Rattus norvegicus: one gene and its partner. Each later gene encodes a partner of the first gene's protein in a complex. Links are inferred from orthologs where the notes say so. Each region holds a gene or a part of one and is shown in the gene's direction. Other genes may lie near its edges.

The links.
Region 2: the proteins of Wwc1 (region 1) and Lats1 are in contact, whole or in part, in a crystal structure (PDB 6J68), measured with the Mus musculus proteins. The link is inferred for Rattus norvegicus from reciprocal best matches to the Homo sapiens genes WWC1 and LATS1. Residues at the interface, in NP_740749.1 of Mus musculus: Asp17, Tyr23, Ile25, Asp26, His27, Arg30, Thr31, Thr32, Ser33, Trp34, Asp64, Val67, Tyr70, Ile72, Asp73, His74, Lys77, Thr78, Thr79, Gln80, Ile81; in NP_034820.1 of Mus musculus: Ala546, Glu547, Ala548, Pro549, Ser550, Tyr551, Gly553, Pro554, Pro555, Pro556, Pro557, Tyr558, Leu562, Leu563.

Annotation. Positions count from the first base shown.
Region 1 is NC_086028.1:20,839,730-20,843,546, reverse strand, and holds part of Wwc1 (protein KIBRA), read left to right. Parts: intron 1-1,181; coding exon 1,182-1,271; intron 1,272-2,592; coding exon 2,593-3,131; intron 3,132-3,817. UniProt on the Homo sapiens protein: Regulator of the Hippo signaling pathway, also known as the Salvador-Warts-Hippo (SWH) pathway.
Region 2 is NC_086019.1:4,001,039-4,004,855, forward strand, and holds part of Lats1 (serine/threonine-protein kinase LATS1), read left to right. Parts: intron 1-966; coding exon of another isoform or gene 967-975; exon of another isoform or gene 976-1,029; intron 1,030-2,101; coding exon 2,102-2,684; intron 2,685-3,817. UniProt on the Homo sapiens protein: Negative regulator of YAP1 in the Hippo signaling pathway that plays a pivotal role in organ size control and tumor suppression by restricting proliferation and promoting apoptosis.

The DNA of each region.
Region 1 (3,817 bases):
CCAGCAGGGTGACAGAGAGGAGCAGTGAGTCACCTTGACGTGGAAATTTATCATCCAGACCCCCCGGCAGAGTGAATGATCTCAGCCTCTTCATCTAGGAAAAGAGAACCCTTCCTTCCCGACTCCTTTCTGTCTAGTGAGCCACTTCGATTTCTCTTATTAGTTTGATCCAATTGCTGTAAGCAACAGCCCCAAACCTCTGTGGATAAGCTCTCTTGAAGTTTATTTCTTACCCATACAATATCTTAGGCGGCCTCCCTTGTTGTTGAAGAGGCCACAGCTTGCCCACCTCCCCTTTAAGGCCACAGAGACTGAGGAACACTTTCCTTGACCACTTCAGTCTGATACACACGGTTTCTGCTTATATCCCATTGGCCAGAGCTTGCTCACGTGCCTCAGCCAGATGTTAGGGAGCCCGGGAAAGTGATCTAGCTTTGATCCTGGGAACCCAGGAAGACACAACCAAGGGTAGGTGCCAGAAATACGATCATGAAGCCATTTTCTCATTCTCAATTAGGGATTCCTTTCTCTGCTTTTGATTTTTTTCGTTTTGTTTGTTTGTTCGTTTGTTTGTTTGTTTGTTTTCGGACCTCGTTAGCACCGCGCTCTAATTAGACGCCTGTTGTCTTCCACCCTCCATGTTCTGTAAGAGAAGCAATGAGTTCTGTCCCTCGCCGCTCTGTCCCTGGTGCTGGAAACAGCATCCAGTGTCACCTGGGTAAACATTAGTTGGTGAAAGGAAGGAGGGAGGGAAGGGAGGGGGTAGCAGCTGAAGCAGGAGAAGGAAAGAATGGTAGTTTGGTGGAATCCTAATTCTTCCACTAATTCCATAGTTTTGAGTAAACTATGTAACTAAGAGCCTCAAATTTTCTCATTTTGTAAAGCTGTTAAAATCATTCTCCCCAGGCACATATCAATACATCCTACATCGGTGCCATGTGTTCGGTTCCTAGCTTAGTCTCTAAGGTGTCGCAGGTGGCTGCACACTTACTATAGAATTTGTGTATAAAGAGCTTCTGCCTCTCCACAGCACTGTGGTACGTTTCTACCCAGTTCCTGTGCCTGCACCCTTGGCCTGGTGCCTTTAAGGGCCTGGGCCTTATTCTCTTTTCCGGAGATCGCAGGAGGAGCTGGAGCATTGCATCCCTTTGGAGCTGATTGTCTTACCTCCTCTCCCTCAGGTTGAAGTTAAACAGCAAGAGGAACCAGCTGGTGCGAGAACTGGAGGAAGCCACGCGGCAGGTGGCCGCCCTGCACTCTCAGTTGAAAAGGTGAGTGGTGGGCGGTGACCATCCCCGTGGGGAAGGCCCAGTTCCACACTGCCATTCGTACAAGTTCCATACAAGCCATTCCTCCGTGGCTTGAGGAAAGACATTTAGAAGCATAGAAGGTTGTCATTCTAGCTGATACAGGCTTGGCTAGGGTGGCCGGCCACAGGGTGCTTCATCCCGTGGGACTCTACAAACAGAGACAGCCCCTGGGAGATGCCCGTTGGGTCTGCCTTCTAGCCCACGTTTACAGCATGTAGTAGGTTTTTCCGTAAGCTCAGGCCTTGATGGTTGAAGTATATGACTGGAACTTCATAGTAGCATTAAAAGCACCCCGCCTCTCATCCCCAACAAAAGTGGTTTCTTCCTGTTTATACCAATAAATAACCTTTCGATGGTCATTTATGATGTTAGATCTCCTTTTAAGTTAAATATTTTATCATTTTTTTTAAAAAGTGAATTACATTCTAGTATGGTATTGGTATCCCATATCTTTAATCCCAGCACTTGGGAGGTAGAGGCAGGCTGCTCTCTGAGGCCAGCCTGGTCCACATAGCAAGTTCCAGGACAGCCAGAACTACACAGAGAGAGGCCCTATAACAAAAAAACAAAACAAAAAATTTTGGGAAAAAAAAAGTGACTAGAGCAGAGTGTGAAGGGGTGCACTTGTAATCCCAGCATTTAGCAGGTGGGAGGAGAATCGGGGAGACTGGAAGTTCAAGGCCAGCCTCAGGTCTGTATGTGCCCCCTACCCCCACCTCCAAAAAAAAGGAAAGAAAAAGAAAAAAATGGGAGTCGATTTCAAGAAAGGTACTAAGTGTGGCAGATGTCTTTAATCCCAGGGGCACTCAGGAGGCAGAGGCAGGCCTTATCTCTGTGAGTTCAAGACCATCCTGGTCTACATATCAAGTCTTAGGCCTGCCAGAGCGGCACAGTCAGATCCTATCTCAGTCAACCGATCCAAGGAAACAAGCAAAAGAAATGTTTTAATAAAGATGCAGTGTGGCCAATAAGAAACAAAGATAGAAGAGGAGAAAAGTGGGATCCGGGTGTGGGGTTTCCAGGTGTATGATCTCAGGACTCAGAGCATCAGGAGTTTAAGGCTAGCCTGAGCTACTAAGCAAGAGGCTCACGGGTACCTGCTCTGCTACTCTGGGCCCCCAGCTCTCTCTAGATCTCTATTTTCTCCTCAGTGAAACTGGGTGCATGGTCCAGCTTAGGCTGTCAAGTGGGCTGGGAAGATGATGTTCATGACTCCCAAGCCCGGTGGAGTCCCCAGTGTTCTCCTTACTCCATGTTACCTTTTCCCTTTCCCTGTCCCCAGCCTCTCCAGCAGTATGCAATCACTGTCTTCAGGCAGTAGCCCTGGGTCACTTACGTCCAGCCGGGGCTCCCTGGCTGCCTCTAGCCTGGACTCCTCCACCTCAGCCAGCTTCACTGACCTCTATTACGACCCGTTCGAGCAGCTGGACTCAGAGCTCCCGAGCAAAGTAGAACTGCTGTTCCTGGAGGGTGCCACAGGCTTCCGGCCCTCAGGCTGCATCACCACCATCCACGAGGATGAGGTGGCCAAGACTCAGAAGGCAGAGGGAGGCAGCCGCCTGCAGGCCCTGCGCTCCCTATCCGGCACTCCAAGATCCATGACCTCCCTGTCTCCACGCTCATCTCTCTCCTCCCCGTCCCCTCCCTGTTCCCCTCTCATCGCTGACCCCCTCCTGGCTGGAGATGCCTTTCTGACCCCTCTGGAGTTTGAAGACACAGAGCTGAGCCCCACTCTTTGTGAGCTGAGCCTCGGCACCGATGGCGCCCGGGAAAGATTCCGGCTGGAGGAACCAGGACCCGAGGGCAAACCACTGGGCCAGGGTAAGGAGCACAGTGCCCTTATGGGGAACCAGAAAGCGGGGGATTCCTGCCGTAGTTCCTGACTGTGGATGGCTGGGTCTTTATGGGGTTGGTAGATCCTGACAAAGGTAGAATGTGCTAGGTCCCTGGGCTAGGGTTTTGTTTTGTGGTGGATTTCACTCAACAGATATTTAGCGCCTACTAAAATGAATCCAGATCCTGGCTGGGCTAATTGAGTATGAATGGATTAATTCATCTAAGCTCTCCGTTGATATGGCAAATGTAGCCGCTGGAGGGGTCAGTGTTGACAACAGACAAGGGCCGCCCCCTCCCCCGCTGCCGCAAAGCTTGGGTTCAGCGGGAGGGAGCCACGGGGGCGTTAGAAATGTACCAGGCAAAGGCATGGGAAGGGGATAACAGCGATGTGTGGTGGAGCCTTTCGGTGGAGTTGAGGCAGCCAGGTCAGAATGGATTGAGGCTTAAATGATGAGGGGGAGGGGGGGAGGGGGAAGGGCGGTGAGAGTAAGAGGGTGTAGCAGCAATTCAACTATGACCCCGGCATTTAGGGGGAAGAGGCGTAAAGACCAGGAGTGCAAAGTCATTCTCCACTATATAGCCGGTTTGGTCTGGAAACTTGGAGATCTTTTCTCAAAATACGGGGGAAAAAAAAAAAAAAAGAAAAAGAATCCATGGGCAGATAAGACAAC
Region 2 (3,817 bases), on another chromosome or scaffold:
TGGGAGAATTTTGATGATAGCATTTTCAGTGATTATTCAGCATTTCTTATAGAACTTTTAAATTATATATATATATATAAAGTATATGAAATATGGAAATTGAAACGAGGTTTAATTTTTACTTTGTTTTTTTTTTTTTTCCTCCAAGACAGGGCTTTACTTTGTACCCTTGGCTGTCCTGGAACTCACTCTATAGATCAGTCCGGACTTTAACTCACATAGATTTACCTGCCTCTGCCTCCCAAATGCTGGGATTAAAGGCATATGCTACCAATATCCAACAGGTTCTAGATTTTATACATTATTTTACAACATACACAAGTCAGATAGAAATATCTGAGTTACCTCTTGATACATATAGAAAGCATTGTCATTTGGTTGAGAATCTGATGTTTATTCCTTACATACACGTTGTTAGAAAGTGTTAAAATCACTGGGCATGGTGACTCCCACGTTTAATCTCAGCACTCAGGAGGCGGAGGCCAGCAGTCTGCATTGTTAGTTCCCACATCTATACAGCAAAGCACATGCCCCCCCCCCCCACACACACACACAAAGAAAAAAGCTAAAAACAGAAGTAAAAAGAAATGTCAGAACCATTGCTTTACCGTTACTTTCCTCTTCTAATATTTGAGGAAAATGTGCTGAAATGCTGGGTGTGTGGAGGAGACGGGGCTCGCTGTGCTCCCGGGTAGGACTATCACCATCATGGTGTTGTCTTATGCTCAGAACGCCAAGCTTTGACTCCTCCCTTGTTTGACATCTACTGCTCAAAGTGTGAGAAGATTACGCTTCTTCTCAAATCTCACTTTATAGTTCAGTACACTGTTTTCTTACTATAAATAATTATGTTAAATGAGAAATACCCCAAATTCTCTTATTCATATTGTTCTTAGAATTTCTTACTTAAGTCTGTCTATTTTTCTTAGTTTATTTTTCCTTTTTCCTCTTCACTTTCACTAATAGCTGACTTAAACTTTCATGGTGTTGGAAGCTTTGCTGACTTCTGTAGCCTCCATTACTGTGTAGGCAAGTAAGATTTTAAGAGAAAGAGTTCTGTACTAAGTCTGGCATGCTACCACTCTGAAAAAACATTGCATGCAAATGCACATCCTAACAGAAGCATGAGGTTGCTGTATTGAAATTAGTCTTGCATTTCTAAAATTAGACTCTACTTTTCTAAGTCTTGTCCTTTTCAACGTTAGTAAATTCTTCCTGAGCTAAGAACCCCTACAGGCCATCTAAGTCCACTGCTTACAACTGACCTTTGTGTTCATCCATTGTGATAGTGCCCTTATTCACAAGAACTTTAAAAACTACTTCAGAATATCTAAAGGATAAGCACGTTATCCCTTTTGTACTTTGTTAGAGGTGGACTGGGTCTCACCTTTATGCTGATATCCTAAGAAAGAAAAAGAAGATTACCATGACTTTTATTTATTTTTTTAGCTCAGAGAACATGTAGAGTTCAGAGGACAACATGAAGGAGTTGGTTGCTTCTGCCCACCATGTGGTCCTAGATTAACGGAGAGAGTCAGACTTGGCCAGAGGTGCCTTTACCAGCTGAGGCCACCCTTCCTCCCTCCCTCCCTCCTTCCTCCCTCCCTCCTTCCTCCCTCCTTCCTTCCTGTTTTAAAGAATGATTGAACCTAGAGTGAAAGAATTCTTTCTGTGAAAGAAAATCAAGGGGAAAATATTTGAGGCCTAGCCATTCTACAAAAAAAGATTTAGTGAAGGTGTCTGACCCTGTAGTCTGGAGATGTGCATGACGAGAACTGAGAATGTGTGTTCACAGACACTGGTTTTATTGTGCATTCGAAGCTATTCCTTGAGTGCTTTAGAGAGGAGTAGAAGCCTGACTGTTGATGTCCTCTTGTTGCTCCCCACAGCTGGATTTGCATATATACTCACTTTGTGTATTGTTTACTATCTCTTAAGCTTGACTTGATCATTAATTTTTCTCTGAAATACAGTCTAGAATTCTAACATGCTTTATTAAAAATTATGCATTTAACTTTCAAAAATATGCCTGAATTATTTTTTAAGCCGTGTCTTACTATTTAATACAATTCCTTATTTAACCTCTAGTTTATTTACCTAGGTTGGATTATCTCAAGATGCCCAGGATCAAATGAGAAAGATGCTTTGCCAGAAAGAGTCTAACTATATTCGTCTTAAAAGGGCTAAAATGGACAAGTCTATGTTTGTAAAGATAAAGACATTAGGAATAGGAGCATTTGGTGAAGTCTGTCTAGCAAGAAAAGTCGATACGAAAGCTTTGTATGCAACAAAAACTCTACGAAAGAAAGACGTTCTGCTCCGAAATCAGGTGGCTCATGTGAAAGCTGAGCGAGATATCCTAGCAGAAGCTGACAACGAGTGGGTGGTCCGCTTGTACTACTCATTCCAGGACAAGGACAACTTGTACTTTGTGATGGACTACATTCCTGGGGGTGATATGATGAGCCTGTTAATTAGAATGGGCATCTTTCCCGAAAACCTGGCACGATTCTACATAGCAGAACTTACCTGTGCAGTTGAAAGTGTTCATAAAATGGGTTTTATTCATAGAGACATTAAACCTGATAACATTTTGATTGACCGAGATGGACATATTAAATTGACTGACTTTGGCTTGTGCACTGGCTTCAGATGGACACATGACTCCAAGTACTACCAGAGTGGTAAGTGAGCTTGTAAGTTCCATTGAACTCACCATAGTGTAGTCCGTTTATGCAGCACGACTTACAATGGCTTCAACGCTGATGAGACCAGTAGACATATAGACTGGTTCTTACTTTCTTAATAAATCTGGATGAATCTCATGAGCATATACATTTATAAAGTTAAAAAGTACATAAAGTTTATTTCTAAATATTATTTAAAAATTTTAAGGGGCTGGAGAGATGGCTCAGTGGTTAAGAGCGCCGACTGCTCTTCCAGAGGTCCTGAGTTCAAATCCCAGCAACCACATGGTGGCTCACAACCATCTGTAATGGGATCTGGTATGTCTGAAGACAGCTACAGTGTACTCGTATACAGAAAATAAATAAATTTTAAAAAAAATTTAAGTAACTAATACAAAATTTTGTAACTTTTGAAATGTGCCAGTTTTTAAAATAATTTTTGAATAAAGTCTCCCCGGAGACATCCATTATTTAGAACGTTGTACCCCATTCTTTACTTTTCTTATTTTGCTGCTGCTATTTCCGAGCCCCTGCCTGCTAGACAAGCATTCTACTCCCGAGCTGCAGCCTTACCATGTGTATTTCTTATTTTGAAACAATATCTCAGTAGGTTGCCCAGACTACAGTTGAACTTATACCCAGTATAAGCTTCAACTTGGGTTCCTTCAGCCTCAGGTTTCTAATAATTGGGATCATAGGCCTGTGCAACTAGGCCTGGACACCATATTGTATAGCTTTATATATTATATTTCTCACCAATATATTACTTCTTTTTTTCTATTTTTGAAACTATAATCATTATGTATTTTTGTTTCTTTTTTTGTTTACTTGTTTTGTTTTTGAGGTTTCTCTATGAAAGTGTGTGTTTTCAGTGCTATTTAGAGCATATAACCTGTTTAACTGTCATATAACCTTTTAACCCAACACATACATACACATGATTCTATTTAGTCATATGACACTGAAGCAGAATGAAGATGTGAGACTTAGGTGAAGTAACTCATCCAAGGTCAGACAAAGTTAAGTGTAAGGGCTAGGCTTTGAACTTAGGTTTGTCTGATTACAGGGCCCATGTTATCTCTACCACACGGCCTCAAAGAACCTTTCAAGCGCTAATGGAAGTGTAAGTT